Linked DNA regions of Oryzias latipes. The protein of the gene in region 3 purifies or fractionates together with the protein of the main gene of each other region. This does not show direct contact. Links are inferred from orthologs where the notes say so. Each region holds a gene or a part of one and is shown on either strand. Other genes may lie near its edges.

Region 1 (5,854 bases), on a different chromosome or scaffold from region 3:
AGGAGGGGAAGGGGGGTAAGACCATGAAGCAGCATAGAGCAGACAGGTTTACTGGTTGTTTATCGTTACGGTACGGTTCAAATGTAGTACAAAAAGGGCGGGGCCTGTTCACACACACTCAAATATTATCAACACACCTGCTAGCCGCAAAAATGTCCACATGTCAACATGCACACAAAACAGATAGTGTTCACGAACGCATACCTATGCCTTTAAACCAACTAGTGTGAAATCTTTCATTCATTCAATCATGCAAACTATTAGTGCAAAGGTGAGCTAACACCTGTGCTCAGGTGAGTGTTTATGTTCTTCTAAAATGGATGGTGGAATGTGAAAAGAAGGAGGAGGAGCGCCCAGCCACCCCCACACCCACACCCCCGCCGCAGCAGCAGCGGCAGCCGGAGCTCCCCCAACGCCACACGGGAACAGGCAGGGAACAACCGCCCCCCGGGCGACCAAGACCGCAACCCAGGCCAGGGCCAGCAGGACCGCCGCGAGGCCCCCAGAGCCAGAGAGCAGGGAGGCGCAGAGGGAAAGAGAGCGCCGCCCCAGCCCAGCCAGGAAAGCAGCCCCCCGCCGCGCCGGAAGAGCCCAACGCAGGGCCCCACCGGAGAGGGACGCCCACAGCCCCAGACGAGCACCCCACCACCACCCAGGAGTTCCGGGCATCCCCCCGCCCCGACCCCAGGTACGAGCCAGGACCCCCCAAGGGAGACCCGCTCCGCACTCCAGGCAGCCACCCACCCGGCCCACGGTTGGTCCAGGTAGGAGCAAGGCAGGGGCCCGCCGCCCCCCCACAGGAGGGGGGAACCCCGGGGAAAAAAGGGCGGCCCACAAGGGATGTTATAAATATGGCCCGACCAGGCTCGGCCATGTTGGAAGTTTGGCGGGGCCCAGCGCCCAGGGGCAAGGACCAGGACCCACCCCCCAGGGACACGAACACCCCCGGCTCAGGTGTAATATGAACCCCCCCACCGTGCGGAGAGAGCACCGCCGGGCCCAGGGAGCCGGCACCCAAGGGACACGGCCGCCATCGCCAAGGGGCCCGCACCCCCCACCAGGGAAGGGCTAGGGGACAGATGGACCCAGGTCCCACCTTCCTTGTAAAATGTGTGTGCGTGTATGGGTGTTTGAGAGGGTGTTTGTGTGCATGTGTGTGTGTTTATGTTTGAATGTATATATTGAAGGGGGAGGGGTGTGTGTACTAAGGGGGGTGCAGTTAAAATTGGCGAGTAGGGCACTAAGGGGACATCTCCTGATTACTCACAGTGATGTCCCCTCACCCTCCACACCAAGGGGCCCTAAATGTCTAAGGTGCGGTTAAAATTGGCGGGTAGGGTGCCAGGAGGACATCTGCTGCTTGCTTGCAGTGATGTCCAAGCACCCCCCCTACCAAGGACCCTACATGTCTAAGGTGCAAATAAAACCGAAAGAGGGGGGGCCCACTCCATACGGCAACCATAGGAGGGGGGCCACTCCCAAGTAGCCCCCCCCCAAGGCGCATCGCAGGCTAGACCCCCCACCCCCTCACCCTAATATGAGGTTATATAAGGAAGGGGGTAAGTTGGGGACAGCTGGTAGACTGTCCCCCGGTGGTCAAACAGCCGTCCCCCAGCCCACCCCCAGCAAAGGGGCCAGGGCCACCCAGCCCAGGGGCCCACCCCCGGAGGCGCCGACACCCCAGGCCCGGCACCACCCACCCCACACAGAGAGAGAGGAGCCAGAAAGCGTCGCCCCCCCCCGGAGCAAGCCCAGGCCCCCACCCCCAGACGCCGGCCCTAGAAGAGCTCTGGTCAGGCCTCGACGGGACCGAGGAGGCCAACCGGCCGAGGCAACCACTGATTGCCTCAGCGGAGACCCCGACCCGCTAGCCCCCCCGACCCGTACTAATAATGGGCCCCCCCTCCCCCCAGAACGCCCCCCCACAGGACAGGGCCGACAAGCCCCCCACCCCACCCCACCCCAGACCCCGCAGCCGAAGCGGGTGACACCCAGAGCGACCGGGGGCCCCGAGAGGGTTTCAAGCCAGAATCTGGCTTGAAACTGTACGGCTGGATAAAAACGGCATAATCAATATAAAAAGATCACTCTGAACGTTTTGCAAATAGCTTAAAAGATGATCGTACTGGGTCTTGTGCGGCTGCAGTTACGGTTTTGTTTTTATTCCCATTATACATCTGTCAACATCCTCTCCCACTAGCTTACAGTCCCTTAGATGCCCCACCTTACATTACCGGTGCAACAAAAATAGTGAGCAATACTGGAGCTATCCAGGTGTACAGTTTTGATCAAGATGTCAGCTCAGACGAGGAAAACAAAGACGTATATTGATCTATCTGTCTCAAGCTCAATTTTCTGTCCACCATCATCAGAAAAATGCTACAAGAACATGTTAGTCCAAAAGCAGGTTTTTATTCCAACTGTGCTGCATCCTGGGAGCCTTGGATACCAGGGACAGCCCATCGGGATGGGAGGGGTAAGTGGTGGGCGGTATGCTCTGACTCCTCCCACCCCTCCGCGATCTGCTACGATCACTCCTCCCCCTCCTCCTCTGTGGGGCCAACGGCAACAGCAGCAGCACAAGAAGAGCCGTGCCTAGTCTTTGACGGAGGAGATCCACTAAAACGGGAGTATATTAGCTAAAGCCCGCACAGCCATGGCAGAGAACGCCGGCTTGGAAAACCACCGCATCAAGAGCTTCAAAAATAAAGGGCGTGATGTCGAGGTGAGCTTAGACAAACCCGTGGTTTTTAAACACCACGAACGGAACCATTTTCAGGTATTAAAAGGGCCTCGTTTGCCCTGGCCCCTACTGAAACAGTTTGCTTACAAGTCAGCTAGCAAGCCATCAGGAAGAATTCGCTATGAAATCTGTCAATCTGTTCGATTGTGTGTAATAATATTTTGTATTCAAAGTGTTGTGATTGGGTATTGGTTAACACAATGTGTGTTACTTTAGTCCATGAGTAGCTGTGAACAGCAATCTCTCACAGAGTCAGTCTGATTAACGGTAGGCGACGAAGCTGTCACTACCGGCTAACTAGCTAGCTAGCTAGCTGGTTGGATGGATACCGGTCGCAGGCGGGGCTGGGCCTGGCCGGCTTCATCAGCGTTATATATACCGTATATTAGTGAACCACCAGTAGTCTGCGTCACTGTTACCTGCGGCACACACGGTCACCATACCTTGTGTAACAGTTGTAAATGTTGTAATCAATTTCCGGTCTAGGTCACATTTTTACCTCCTCCTGTCCTGGCTGATCGTTAGCTTGCTAACCTCATCAAGCTTGCATTAATTTCCAGGTGGTTCAGGTAAACCAGGCTACAAGGAAATAAACCCAGATCAACAATTACAATCCGTTTACTGTTTTCGTGTTATCTTTTAGTTTCAAATTGTACAAACAAATAAATTCTAAACGTAATAACTCTTCAATTATTAGTTTTTTTAATCTACCTAACAGTTTGGTTAACATAGTATTGACTGTTTGGAATTCCAGATTTCAGAATTGTACTTTCACACAAGTGTTTGATTCTGTCGGGTTTAGTGGTAGACAGTCTGTTGTTTTTGGGCCTCACAGGCTACTGTACCATCTAATCAAGTTTGTTGCTGCATCATTCTCATAACAAGTGAAATTAGGAGGACAAATCCTTCTGAATTCTTGTTTGCATTAGGCCTGCATGATGAGGCAACAGTCTGGATTAATTGATGTTAGGTTAGGTAAGAAAACAAAAGATTATTTCATTAAACGCATATTTTTGAAACTTTTTTTTCCACAAGATGTTTATCAAAGCGCTCTAGGCCAAAGGTTTTAATAACAATGACACACTTGTGCCTGGGTTATTGTGATCTATGTCTAATCCTGAGATAATCCCTAAACAAAAGTGTGTCTGAAAAATCCACCTCAGTGTTTGGAGTACCCCAACTGAACACACCAACACAGGTTGTTGTTTTGAAAGTTGGGTCAGGCTGACAAGCACATGGCTACCATGACACACAGACGGTGCCTGCTGCATTCCTGATGCTATTTCAGGAATCTCGGATGTCTGACCCTGGGCCTCTTAAAGCCCCAGCATGAACTGGACTTTTCAGTGGGTGACCCATACTGCATCAGGGAGAGACATGTCCATTTGAGCTTGTTTGCTTTTAAGTCAGCCATCCTGGATGTATTCTTTGTTCTTGTCACTAATACAGGAGAAGTAGAGAAAAGCTAAGAAGTATTGTATTTTATTGTATGTTTGCAGTGATTGGGAGGCTCCTCTCTTCTCCACTGCCCTCTTATTTATAACAGTTCCTGATTACGTGAGTGGCTATTTAAGAAGGAAACATGAACCTGTTTTTTAAGCATCACAAGATCTTAGGACATCTCCGTGTTTTGGATAAACAACAGGAAACCTGTTAATAGATCCGTGTGGTTCCCTGTTAGGTGCTTTCTGTGGGAATATGCGGCATCACTTTGGTATAACTGAAAATATGACCTTCAGGCTCCTGTCTGTATCCTAACAGACTAAACTGCAGGAGTGAATGTAAGTAAGATTCTGTTTTAAGTGAATACCATGGGATTTTTGTACGATGAGCGAAATTTAGGAAATGAGACAAAAAAGAAACAAAATTATGCAGAAAAGTGAGACCAACAGTGTCTGACGAACGGAAACATTGTGTAGGAAAAAAGGTGATGAGTGAATGAAGCCTCATGAAGCCTTACAGCACTCCAAACTTCAAGGCCTTGGTATGGAAAACTGTATGGAGTCACACACCAACCTTCCATAAAAAATTTACATGAAACAAGTTAAACAAACCGCATAGTGGTGTGTTTGTTGTGTATGAGAAATGTCTTATTTCTTTGTAGATTTATTTGTTAATTAATTGTACCGGCTCCATTTGTAGTCCTTCATGTGACTCCTAAATCATGTTCTGTCATGTTTGCTGTAAAGTCCTTCACTCCAGACATTATGCTTCCTATAAGAATATGATTTAAACATTTGCTTTATTTGATGCTGACCTCCCTGATTCTTTAAAAACACTGCTGCAGAGTACAGTCATGTCACATTTGCTTGTAGTACGACTCTAATTCACCCTGGTGATAATGATTTTGAAAAAGGAATGCATTGCTTTTTTAAATTGCAGTTTATGCTTGGCTAGTTTCCAGTATTTGCATAGCAGAGCACATAATCTAAGTGTTCGTGGTCAAAGGCAAAGACTGCAAAAAATACAAATTAATAAAATGCAGGCAGCTGCAGGTCAGCCATATGAATGTACACGTGTTGCTGATAGGAATTCGTTTAGCTGTAAACATCCATGCAAACATGGGGGTGGCAAATTTAATCAAGAAGACTGGCAATCGTTTGATTTATTAATATTACAGCTTTTTAAAAAAAAAAAAGTCTTGGTATTCTGCCAAACAGGTTTTTGGGTAACTTTTCATTTTTGTTAGAATTTTTAAGACAGTGCTCTGAACCTTCTTTCTTTTAATGATATGTGATCTTTACTGGTGTCCATGGATTACATGAAATCCTCTTCACCTTTTTCCACCTTTGTCAGAGTAGGAATAACAGGTCAATGTCAGGGTGGGGTCATTTTGACCCCACAAGATACCACAAGGTCTACAGCTTCGCGGGCCACCTGCAGGTATGCCCATTTTTCAGCCAGTATAAGGGTAGTTGTGACGAAGGCATTAGAGGTGCTGAATCTGGTTTTGCATTGTCTTACATGGAAAGCATCACCTTGAAGAGTCTCTTCTGCACGGTTTCGAAGAATGTCCTTTGAGATGCCCCACTTTGCCGCTTTCCTCTGTAAAAATCGGAAAACCACCTGGTGTTTCCGTGAATGTATACCCTGTCTCCAAAACCACACCAA
Region 2 (5,947 bases), on a different chromosome or scaffold from region 3:
TGCATCAGCAAGGATGTCTGTGTCATGGACAAACAGCAGCCAAGAAAGCACGTTCAAACAGGGGGACACCTATGGAGAACATGAGAACAAGAGTAGTGAGAAATAAACAAAATTAAGCATCTTATGTCGCTCCTTTTTCAGTTCAGACCCTCCAGGACCTCACAGGCATTTTTTTTATTGTTGCGGTACAAAAAGCCTGAATTTGAAGCAGTTTTGTTAAAAGTTCTGACATTTTTCAATAATTTCCAACACAAGGCTGTAAGAGGACATACACATTTTAAAATGCTGTTTTTTTTCCAGTTGCTCTAAAGTAAAAATGTATCCAAGACTGTTTAATGTTTGCTTTTGTTGTGCAATATAGTTACATTAGAACAGAAAGAGATACTGTTGCATTAACCCAATGAACTTTGGGAGATGTAGTGAGTTATGATAAAAAACGTGCCACTTATGTTGAACAAATGTGAGTCTCCAAGATTCGTTATTATCTGTAGATTTTACACCGTCCAACACCAAAACCCGCTGGGAGCTGGCTGCGCCGCTAAAAACAATCTTTAGCTGGGATTTGTGGAGGGAACAGAGATTTTACCAGCCATGTTGGCACCTTTGATTGGTTAGACTGATGATGTACATGTTTGAGCCTCTAAACTTGATTGGCAGAAAGGGTTTTACAAGTAAAACTTTTTCCAAGTTACAGAGATTGGGTAAAGTTGCAATGTCAAGAAAAAGTTGCAAGTGTGCAATTCCAACATCTGAAAGTCCTGGAGGGTCGGTAAATAATTACCAACAATGGTTTTTAACTTAACTTGTTCTTTGGGAATGAGAGACATGTTAAGTATCATCTTGAGAAATTACCTTGGAGAAGTCAGGAGGAGGATTTTTGCCTCTGCACAGGTTAGACAGTGCCCAAACTGCATTCCTCATCATTGTTAAACGATTCTGTTTAGCCAATAATCTGAAAAAAGGAGTTCGATGTTCAAACATGGACTTGTTCATATTTATCTCACGTGAAACGAGAACCATAGAGCTGTTTAACAATAATCTGCTACTTACTGGATCAGGGATGGTAGAATATTGCAGTCTATGACAAAGTCTCTGCATTCTGTGCTATCACCTGCTATATTACCCAAAGCCCACACTGCCTACAGAAGAGGAAATAATTCAAGTTAGACATAAAAAAACGAATTTACGAAATATGTAATAATTTGAAAATAAGAATATGAAAAGAGATAAATATTGACAACAAAAATGTCCCTCACCTGTTCTTGCACATCTTCAAAATCCGAGGCGAGCATCTCTATGAATATGGGAACAGCTCCTGCCTGGATTACGACCCTAGTCTGGTGGGATGTGCCTGAAGCAATGTTGGTCAAAACCCACGCAGCTTCAAACTAAGAAAAACACGACCAATTTATGTCAGGACAGACAAAAAAAACTCCATCTAAAACACTATAGCTCATGATTACTAGACTAGCTGCATTTGTTCAGGCATTAAACCACTTTACCTGCAATGTGCAATTTTCTCTTCTTTTTAGGAACTCAACAAAACGCTCCACCACCCCTGAAGTGGCAATGACCTCATCAATAGGTGGATTGGGCTCTGTTGGAGACAAAAATTGAGACAATTTTTATTTAATTAAAAATTAAAAATAAATCAAATCAGAACAGTCTTTCGTTATTTTTGTAATATTAAAAAAAAATGAAAGAAATGAAGATGATGCAGCAAATTGAATTTGAACATGATCAAGATTGTTTCTAGTTCTAGATAACTTACAAGGCTGTTTAGCTCTAGTTAAACAGTAGAATGTGTTGATGCATTTGTTCATCGCTCTATGCGATATAGAACAGGCTGGCATTCAGCTAGACCTTTACCTTTAGAAAGGAGTTTTCTAAAGCGTTGTGTGCCTATTAGCTGCTGCTCTGGAGTGCTGGAGAAAATCATCTGAATCATGTCCTCAGAAATGACCCCACCCTTTGCAGAACATAGTAAAAACAATAACAGATCAGTCAAATTTATTGTGAAAGATGCAACAAACAACACCATAAAAAAGGTTTTATTGAGCTAATTCTCACCCCAAATGGGTCCATGTTGTTAGCCTGGGATTCCAGATAACCACTATCTGCCATTCCATCATCCTCCAGGGCACCATCATCCTCCACAGTGGCAACATTTCTTCTTTTAAATAGCTGCAAAGACACAGTCCTTAAAGTTGTACAAAGAAATAGTACAGCATCTTTTGGTTTTATTATTATATGTACTTTGACTAGGTAAGAAGCAGCATAACAAAAATAACTGCTGTTACCAGTTTGTATATCTTCTACTTGTCTTATATGGAAGTAACACAATTCCATATTGTAAAAACCTAAGCAATTTATGAGGGGGGAAAAAAGCTAGGAAAACACACTAAATTATTGTGTTTGATGGATGAATATAAAGTTTACACTTTACTTACTTGTTCGTCCTTCTTCTGTTTTCTGAGCTGCAGGCCTTCCTCTTCCCTCCTTCTTCTCATCTCATCTGTGTTGAGAGACTTGTTCTTGTAGCTCTTCAGTCGTGCATTATCCTTCCCCTGACTCATTTTGTAGCCTGAGAAAATGAAGAATTTTAGTCTCGTTAGTAGTCCCGGTGGTGCAGAACTTTAGTGTTACAGATCCTGGAAAACCCACATGTTGTAGATGTATTGTAATGTCTGTATTTTCTTTTACATTCTTCTGTGTATTTCTTCAGGTTTTCATGACAATCACCGCAATGTATAGCAAAACCAAGAATGCAGGTCGTTTTCAGACGTCTCGAACATATTACTCAAGATTGTCAGAAGGGCTTGTAGCAGTTAGCTTTATAGTTTGCTAGCTTTCGGCATGTTTGCCCAATACCAAAATCATTACTGTGGAACAAATGACTTTTCTTTCTATTTATAGAGAGATATGGGTTCTCATTAGAAATCAAGACATCAAACAGTCTATAGTAAAAAATGCTTATTTACTTAATTTCCCACATGATTAGCTTGTTGATGTCACAGCTCTTGCTAGCCTCTGCTGCTAACGAGCTAGCTTGACGTTAGCTTAGCTGAAAACCCCGAGTAACACATGCCTTTTAACAGCTTATTTGTCACCAAACTTTTAAACACACATACTAAAATCATTTATTCGTAATCTAAAAGCGGTAAAAGTATAGAACAACAATGTGTAGATACATTATACATACCTGTCAGTTTAGGTTTTATAATCCCCTAAATCGCTAAGCCACTGCTTCTGCTGCCGTCGCCGGTATGCCACTACGCATGCGTCAAATAAACGTATTCAGTGACGCTCCTTTGGCTCCACCCACACAAGGAGCTGGCCCTGGTAAACAAGTGAATAGTTGTGCGGTTTTCAAAAAAAATGGACACAAACTCTAATGATGGAGTTTCTTTTTGAAGCACAGTCGGTATGTGGGTATCGCAGTTCAATCAATGGCTGAAATCGTGCTTTCAAACTTCAAGGAGGGGTCGTGTGTGCAACACCTGCCCGCGTGCAGGTGTGTTTTTAAATGTTTTTGAAGTGGCCCTGACTAGACGATCCGGCGCCTGTGGTCTTTAAATGACCCGAGGTGGACACCGTGTCCATCCAAATGATGAAGTGGCCTTAAATGTTTGGGCTGCAAAAGATTAACAGATGTTAAAAGTGATACTTCTCAACAAAGGAAAAAGAAATTAGGATCATGACATAAAAAAATTAAGCTAAGCAATAGACAGAACCAACACAATGGCCTAATTGGCGCATACATTCAAATCTGCATCCCAAAAATAGCTCTTAAATTAGTTTTTTTAGCCTAATTTAACCTCCTTTTTATTCCTAAAAGTACGAATTGATACACCTGTAAAATAATCTGAAGAACAAAGCCTTTGAGTGCCCAAACATCTGCAATCATTGTTTCAGGTTTTATTTTGAAAGTATTTAAATTTAAAACTCTCCAGACTAACTTGGAACTGATCGAAATTTGTGTTCCAAAAATGGCCTCGGTGCAAACAACTGTGGATGTCCAGAGCGCGCACGTCCTCAGCGAGGACTGCTTTGACATGTGGCACGACTACATGAACCTGGGCGCACTCCTGCAAAGGCTGTGCAACCGGCGGCAGGTCGACCCCGAGAAGCCGAAGCAGGAACCCGCGGCGCCGTGGCGCATCATCCAGACGCAGAGCTCCGCAGAGACGAGCTCCGTCAGCAGCCTCTCGGACACCAGTTGCGGCGGGAGCCCCGCAGATTACTGCCGCTTCTGCAAGCAGAACGGCGAGACTCGGCAGGTCTACCGCTCGCACGCGCTCAGGTCGGACGACAGGAAGGTCACCTGCCCCATCCTCCGAAACTACACCTGTCCCATCTGCGGGGCCACCGGAGACCGCGCTCACACGCGCAAGTATTGCCCGCAAGCGCAGAGAGAGGATGCTGCGAGGATGCTGCCCGCCAACAAGTTCTGGTAACTGATGATGATGATGATCCCACTGAAGAGACCAGTTATCCACCGTTGAGACAATGTTTTCAGTTAAACACCAAAGGAAAAACCGAAATCATCGTTACAAGTTTTTAGAGTCTATAGCAGTTTCAGAGCTGGTTCATGTTTGACTTTAAAAATCTGCTTGATTGTCAATCTGCAGCTAAAGAAGGTGATTTCTTACTTTGAAAACATTTTCCGTTTTTTAAATAACCTTTCATAATTTTTTTAAAAACAAGTCTGTTGTGTTTTAGATACAAAATGTTATATTTTTTGAAAAAAGGTTTTGAAGCAACAATAAATCGTTTCAAAACTTTTTTGAGAAGTTGTCTTTTTAAAGTTTTCAGCCACGATGACGTCATATTTTCCTGCATGTTTGGTTGGACCTAAGTTGAGGTGTGGAGATATATGTAAACAATATTTATAGACTCGTGTGAAGATTAACTCACCATTTCATAACTTAAAAGCTCGTGTTTGAGACCAAACCGAAACTGCTGTGAAATCAGTTTTGATGCCTTTGACAAATACAAATCAAATAAAATAAAAACTGGAATGTTGTGTGGCAAGCTTTTTATTAACCAAATATAGTTTAAAAGGTCTCCTAATTTGTTTAAGCTTGATTTTGGGGTTTTAGATGATGAAAAAAGCTTATATCAAGCTTTGTTATTAACCAAATCCTTAAGGCTCTGTCTTTTTGGTCTTTAAACCTTATTTATCTCACAGGGAAAAATTTACTCATCGTGGTAACTCAAAGAAAAGAGACAAGTGCTACAATTACAGCTCACGAGATATCAGATTAAACAAACAAATGAGTAAATAATGTCATGTAATAATAATGTAGTTATTTGGTTCGCAGACTTGACATGAAAGCATTTTAAGGAATTTTGATCCAAAGACCTATGAGTCATTACAAAATACATTACAAAAGACGATAACATTTATACCAGTATCTATTATAAAAGTGTTGATTTGTTGTTTTAAAAATATTGATTGGAATATTTTTGTTTTAATCATGCATTTTAAAAGCAATATGGTTGGTTAAAACAGTACAGCCCTATAAAAAAATAAAAGATATGCAGCTGCAACAATTAAAAATGGGATATTTAGCATGAAAACGTGTGAAAATGTATAAATTCTCTAAAGAAAATAGATAAAAATGGTTTAAATACAATGCTGCAAATGGATAAACGCTTCAGGGCAGAATGCAAGGCAGTTTCCTTTTACAGATTACCTGTAAAACAAGTTTGTCCTGTTCGTCTTGACAACTTATAGAGACAGTTGTCTGCTATAAGAGCCAGCCATGTCTATGAAAACCAACAAAAACATGGCACTGAATTAATATTTCATAATGTAAAGATGAGATTATTCATTATTCAAGCGCAAACTCTGCTCTCACCTGGTGGGGCAGGGTCAGGCAGGGATGGGTGATAAAGACCATGTTACCAAACAGGCTACTGGGGCAAAGTCTTCCTATATAAC
Region 3 (5,925 bases):
TCAAGACGTCAAAGGATCTTTCAGTTTTTGCAGTTGAAATGTTGGCAATGTCATTTAGTTCAGAGATCACGGCATACTATCACGATTGAGGATGGGACACACTGCTCTAAATAATACATTACATTTGATAGGGAAACATCCAACTGGTTTCTGTGAGTGCGGGAAAGGCGAAGAATCAGTGGAGCACGTTTTGTGTCATTGCGAATTGTATAGGGAAGCAAGTAGACAGCTGGAGAATAGAGCACGGGTGCCAGAGGGTGAACGGCTGAATTTAAAGAAGCTTTTGGGAGGGGAAGAAAATTTTAATGGTGCAATTATAGTTTTTTTTTTTTTTTAGCAGAACCAGAATCAGGCAGTCCCCAACTCCGACCCATACTCCAATACAGTATGTGGCGGTAATGCACCCTGACGTTGGTGCCTCCCGCTATTTAAACTACAAGAAGAAGAAGAAGTACTTCCGCCCCCATTCGCGCATGCGCTTTCTAAACCATTCTGTTTTAGTCGGGGTTTTTTCCTCACCAAGTACTTCGTTAAATTTGAAAGTTGATTCTTTACTACAAATTTTCGCTTATCAACAATAAGTTATGCGGGCGCTGTGGTTAGTTGCGGTTGCGGCGCTGTCTCTGAGTCCCGCCGCAGTGAACGGAGCCGACAAGAAAAAGCTGCAGATTGGCATCAAGAAGCGCGTGGACAACTGCCCCATCAAGTCCCGAAAGGGAGACGTGCTGAACATGCACTACACCGGAAAACTGGAGGACGGCACCGAGTTCGACAGCAGCATTCCCCGCGACAGACCCTTCACCTTCACCCTGGGCACCGGGCAAGTGATCAAAGGCTGGGACCAGGGCCTGCTGGGGATGTGCGAGGGGGAAAAGAGGAAGCTGGTCATCCCCGCCGAGCTGGGCTACGGAGACCGGGGAGCTCCTCCGAAGATTCCCGGGGGAGCAACGCTCATCTTTGAGGTGGAGCTGCTCAGCATCGAGAGGAGATCTGAGCTTTGATGACGAGAAGGAAGGGAACTTTGACAGGATGTAGCAGGTGGGATTATTAGCTTGACTGTCTGGTGGTCTTTGATTACTCTTAGAACAATATTATAAGAAACCTGTGAGGTTTTTATTTATTTATTTGAACATGTTTGGTCCCACATCCATAACACTATAACACCTGTCATGTCTTCCACTGTTTTCATTTATTCTGGTTTTGTCTTCCGGTTCCAGGTGCTGCTGTTGCATTAAGGAGACCATGATGGAAACTGACATACAAGTCAAGACTTCTCAGCAGAACCACAACTCTTTATTATGAGCTGATCATGTTTTGGACTTGCTATGTAGCAAACTGTCAGCCAGCAGCTGGGTTCATCTTTTCTAAAGAACTGTCCTGCTTTTGAGCAACGTTATTCTTAATTTCTTATTTCTTTGATGCAAACTCTAATACATTTCTGATTTGTTTAGGTAGTTAAATTTACATTAAATCAATGAAAGTGAATCAGTGGAACAGATTAGGGGGGAACATTTGTGTTCACTTTGTTCCAAAAAATAAAATGCCACCCTGTGTTTAAATTGTTTCTTTTTTCTTTTTTTTTTTGCAATGTATTAATTTTTGAACTTTGAATGTTTAAATGTGTCAGAAGTCAAAAGCAAGAAACAGATGTGATAAATCTGTGCACAAGACTAAAAGTTTTCTCTTCTGGACAGTTAGTAGGCATTTTGCATATAGTAGAACTGTTAAAGTCAAGAAGGATGAGTAACAGTTTTAAATACTAACATTTATCTAATGTACATTTAAAAAAAATGTGAAAAAAGTAAGACAGAACAGAATAAACTGTTGTAATCAGGCTGCAGCCAATAGCATGGTTCCACGTTTCACATATAGTCTGCAGCTGGAGTATTGCAGTGCAATACTATGCAAAGATGGTGCAATTCTGTGTGCCCTTGAGATGGAATAGCTTTGCATAAAGGTTTCTGAATGAATCTCAGAAACTTTACAATATTTTCTAAAAGAGTAAAGAAAAACCTGTAAAGCAAATATCAATTCAGATTTAAAAGCTGGTGATTTTATTTTAAAGAAGAAAGATATCCAAACATTTGAAATATAAGGTTTTTACATTTTTGTAATTGGCAACATATACTAACCTAAAAATAGACTTTTGTAAGTGCCATCTTCATACAACAGAAAATACTTTTTTTTAAGTTCCTCGCCAATTTTTATGAGGCTTGAGCTTTTATTTATTTCAAACTTTGAACAAACGTGACAACTATAACCCAGGCAAAACTGAACAAAACGCCCAAAAGAAGAAAGCAATAAATCTATCAATAACAGGAAAAACAAAGTTAAAGATATTTCCTTTAATCACAAAGTTAAAAGCATGAGTAGAAAAAGAGCATCACCAATAACTCATCGTATTTAAAATTATGTTTCCAACAACAAAGACTGTCAGATGTCCAGGTCAAATATCCACCCGGAGTCAATAAACGAGCGCACAACCGGAACTGATACCTCTCACGCTAACACTGGTTAGCAGTTACGCGGCTTTTTGACCGTTTGCATCATAATGTCTGTTAAATTAAACGCTTTACACAGCGATTCTTACATTGAAGTTAGTCAGTATAGGGACCAACATTTTAAGGTAAGTGAGAAATGAACGTAGAAGTCATATGAGTTGTTTTAGACCCATCAAGCTAGCAAAACATGTGAAAACAAAAGCGCGGTTATGCTTCATTTTAAAATTAAATTGATTGCACCAATAATTTTGCTCCTTGTCAATCGCTTTAGTAAAGTTACAAAACAAACATGTTATTCTCTTAATTACACCGCGTTTTAATTGCTTGCATTGCTGTTTCTTAGTCCAAATTCAATATAAAAATAATAAAGCTTTTGCTACACTGAAACAATTATTTTTCTGTTTCGTTCGTTATTTTCGTTGTTTTGATGGATGCATAATTTTACTTTAATTCAAATCAAGCTTTAGAAGATATAGAACCTTTTATAAATGAATCTTAAAAATATTTAAAAATAAAAAAAGGGTGCTACGTGGACAACAAGAGGCAGCAGCACAAGAAGACCCAAGAAAATAAAATCTATAGTTAACATTTCGAATGGGCAATAAATTTATAGATTAGATTTATTTATTTTAACCTTCCACTTTTAAAATGCCTTACACAGGTTGATTTATAGCTTAAAGAAATAAAGGAGGTGAAATAAAAAGGTGTTGTATTTTTTTCGTGCCAAATGTCTATTAATTGTCAAGTGTTGACAATTTTTCATTGCTTGTTCGGTATTAGGGGAACCGTTATGAACAGGAGAAGCTGCTGAAACAGAGCAACACTTTGTATGTGGGGAATCTGTCCTTCTACACCACTGAGGAGCAGGTGAGATTCTTCAACTCTGCTTCAGACTGATGTGAAGTTATGATCTCCAGTCCTGGTAATGAAATAATTAGGTCAATTTTTTTTTTTTTTTTTTCACGTCTTAAGTCTTTTTTTTTTAAAATTAATTTCTTTCCTTTGGTGACTTTTTAACAGGTTCATGAGTTGTTTGCTAAATGCGGAGATGTTAAGAGGATCATCATCGGCCTTGATAAAGTCAAAAAAACTGCCTGTGGCTTCTGCTTTGTAGAGTATCCTTTTGAACAACCAGACATGGATGATTTATCTTCTATGCAAAGGTAAAAATGTACATTTTGTGATTCCATCTCCCTAAATAACATATGACTTACATTATTTGATAAATATTTTTGTCATCTTTTAAATAATTAAGACCTCATGATTTGTGTTGTGGCAGTTACTTTTCTTCATCATTTTGGCAAAGCTCCATAGGTATCTACATTTACACCATTTAGGCTCTAATGAGTTTGTAAAACACACAGCGAGTATAGTAATTTAAACCTTAACTACAGTTATAGTAGGTATTCTGTTAATGTTCACTCTAAAGTGTTTTTGCTTGTGGTTACAGAGTACAAACTTAGTTTTATTACATACCTTAGAACTGTTTAAATGTAGAAATTGTTTTGCATGAAATCTATCAAACTTATTAAGAAGCCGACAGTAACATCCCAGTGCAGCCCAAGCCGACTGAAGCTTTTGTTAGAAAGGATTTAACTGCTGGCGTGCCAGATATTACACACGAGGAGATGCAGAAAACGCCATGCGCTTCGTTAATGGCACACGGCTGGATGATCGCATCATCAGGACAGATTGGGATGCTGGCTTCAAAGAGGGCCGGCAGTACGGGCGAGGAAAGTCTGGAGGACAGGTGAGATATGGTTAAAGTGTCTGTGAAAAGTCCAAAAGTGTTTGTTGATGCAGTTTGCGTCACAAAGTACATACGTCTATGAAAATGTTTGATTGTTGTCTCTGTTTTTGTGTAGGTGAGAGATGAGTACAGGCAGGACTACGATCCTGCCAGAGGAGGCTATGGGAAGCTGGCGCAGCAACAGCGGAGCACAGAAGCTCGCAATACTTTTTAGACCAAGTCTGAGTGTTTTGATTGGACTTCATACAGGACTGAATTTATTCCCTGATGATCAACAAAAAGCAGGCAGTGTCCAAAGAGATCTAGGACTTGGAGATGAACAGAGAAGGAATAAATCTTCTATGAATACCATTTATTTCAATCTGATATCATCAGTCAAATCCATTTGAAATAGAATGTTGTTGTTTTTCTTAACAATTGAGACATTTTGTTTAGGTGTAGTGAATGTGCATTACTGGGGTGGAGCTTTTATTAACTCTTTTTTTTGTCACCAGTTAGTTACAAAACTATTTTCTAAAATTGTTTTATGATTCTTTTTGAGTGCAGTTAACATTTTCTCTAAATTGAAAAACCTGCAGCATCTCACTCCTATTTCTCTTATTTGGAATTAAAGAAATATAAAGGGTCATACCAGACTTTTTTGTTCAGTAGATAATAAATTATCCAGTGAATTATTTTGAAGAAATGTTTTTTTTCTGTTTCCTTTTTTATTTTTTACCCTTCTGATTGCAATTCTCTAACAAAGTTATAGCTTTGTTTAATTGGGTGGGTTTTTTGTGTTTGTTTTTCTCTTGTGGTAAGAATTCAAAATGTTAAATTTATTTTGTCTCTGTAGACTTTTTATACAATAAACACATTTAATTAAACTGTCAGTTTTATTTGTAAAGCTTTTGATCATACAAAATGGATAATAAATGAAAAAATTCATTGAATATTATAATCCACGTAATGAATTTTATAAAGGTCTGAAAACAGTATGCTATTAACATTACTTAAATATTTGCTGCAATCTCCTTTATGTAAATGAGGATGCATCATTTAAGTCTATGCTAAAAGAAATTTTGCTTTTTTTGATGATTTTCTTTTTAAGAGAAGTTGACTTTTTACAATTTTCTTAAAGCTGTTGTTAGTTCTCCTGTTTTTCACATGGATTAACCTTTAAAAAAGTCATCCTACCTAACATTTAGTTATAGTTTTCTTCACACCAACCATGTGCCAAAAGTTCCATTTTTGTTTTCCCCTCTAATAAAGGTAAGCTCAGGATGATTTTATAACTCTTGTGTTATCCTATCGGGTCAAGATGACCATTGACGTGTTCTCCCTACCGTGATAAAGGTGGAAAGATTTCATGTAATCCATGGACACCAGTGAAGATCACAAATCATTGAAGAAAAAAGGTTCAGCGCACTGTCTAGTGGGTCTAGATGACCCAACTCCCAATGTTAAAGTGCCTAGGATAGCAAAAGGGTTAAGTAGTAAACTGATACTTGGTTAAAAACTGAACACAAGGTGGCAGGAGCGTAGCAAAAGTTTCTCCACCATATTTGCTAGAGCCACAGTCCCAGTTTCTATTTGGATTTCATATTGTCAATGAAGAACGATAATCTCTCTGGATCAGGGTTGGATTGCTTACTTGCTTTTATTGTTTGAAAAAAAATACTTTATACTTGTTCC

The links. Proteins that work in one complex are often made in the same cells at the same time.
Region 1: the proteins of ncbp2 (region 3) and kpna3 purify together in Homo sapiens (co-immunoprecipitation; 3 studies listed by BioGRID and IntAct, with this or other methods). This does not show direct contact. The link is inferred for Oryzias latipes from reciprocal best matches to the Homo sapiens genes NCBP2 and KPNA3.
Region 2: the proteins of ncbp2 (region 3) and kpna1 purify together in Homo sapiens (affinity purification with mass spectrometry; 3 studies listed by BioGRID and IntAct, with this or other methods). This does not show direct contact. The link is inferred for Oryzias latipes from reciprocal best matches to the Homo sapiens genes NCBP2 and KPNA1.

What each region holds. Positions count from the first base shown.
Region 1 is NC_019879.2:9,657,767-9,663,620, forward strand, and holds the start of kpna3 (importin subunit alpha-4), read left to right. Parts: upstream 1-2,536; 5' UTR 2,537-2,656; coding exon 2,657-2,725; intron 2,726-5,854. UniProt on the Homo sapiens protein: Functions in nuclear protein import as an adapter protein for nuclear receptor KPNB1. Binds specifically and directly to substrates containing either a simple or bipartite NLS motif.
Region 2 is NC_019878.2:17,888,544-17,894,490, forward strand, and holds the start of kpna1 (importin subunit alpha-5), read right to left. Parts: upstream 3,319-5,947; 5' UTR 3,203-3,318; intron 2,585-3,202; 5' UTR 2,577-2,584; coding exon 2,451-2,576; intron 2,185-2,450; coding exon 2,071-2,184; intron 1,970-2,070; coding exon 1,870-1,969; intron 1,598-1,869; coding exon 1,503-1,597; intron 1,389-1,502; coding exon 1,257-1,388; intron 1,140-1,256; coding exon 1,051-1,139; intron 953-1,050; coding exon 853-952; intron 70-852; coding exon 1-69. UniProt on the Homo sapiens protein: Functions in nuclear protein import as an adapter protein for nuclear receptor KPNB1. Binds specifically and directly to substrates containing either a simple or bipartite NLS motif.
Region 3 is NC_019862.2:17,992,900-17,998,824, forward strand, and holds ncbp2 (nuclear cap-binding protein subunit 2), read left to right. Parts: upstream 1-2,458; 5' UTR 2,459-2,551; coding exon 2,552-2,626; intron 2,627-3,281; coding exon 3,282-3,368; intron 3,369-3,521; coding exon 3,522-3,616; intron 3,617-4,112; coding exon 4,113-4,251; intron 4,252-4,366; coding exon 4,367-4,465; 3' UTR 4,466-5,120; downstream 5,121-5,925. Other genes in the region: peptidyl-prolyl cis-trans isomerase FKBP2, read left to right, coding at 585-1,001. UniProt on the Homo sapiens protein: Component of the cap-binding complex (CBC), which binds co-transcriptionally to the 5' cap of pre-mRNAs and is involved in various processes such as pre-mRNA splicing, translation regulation, nonsense-mediated mRNA decay, RNA-mediated gene silencing (RNAi) by microRNAs (miRNAs) and mRNA export.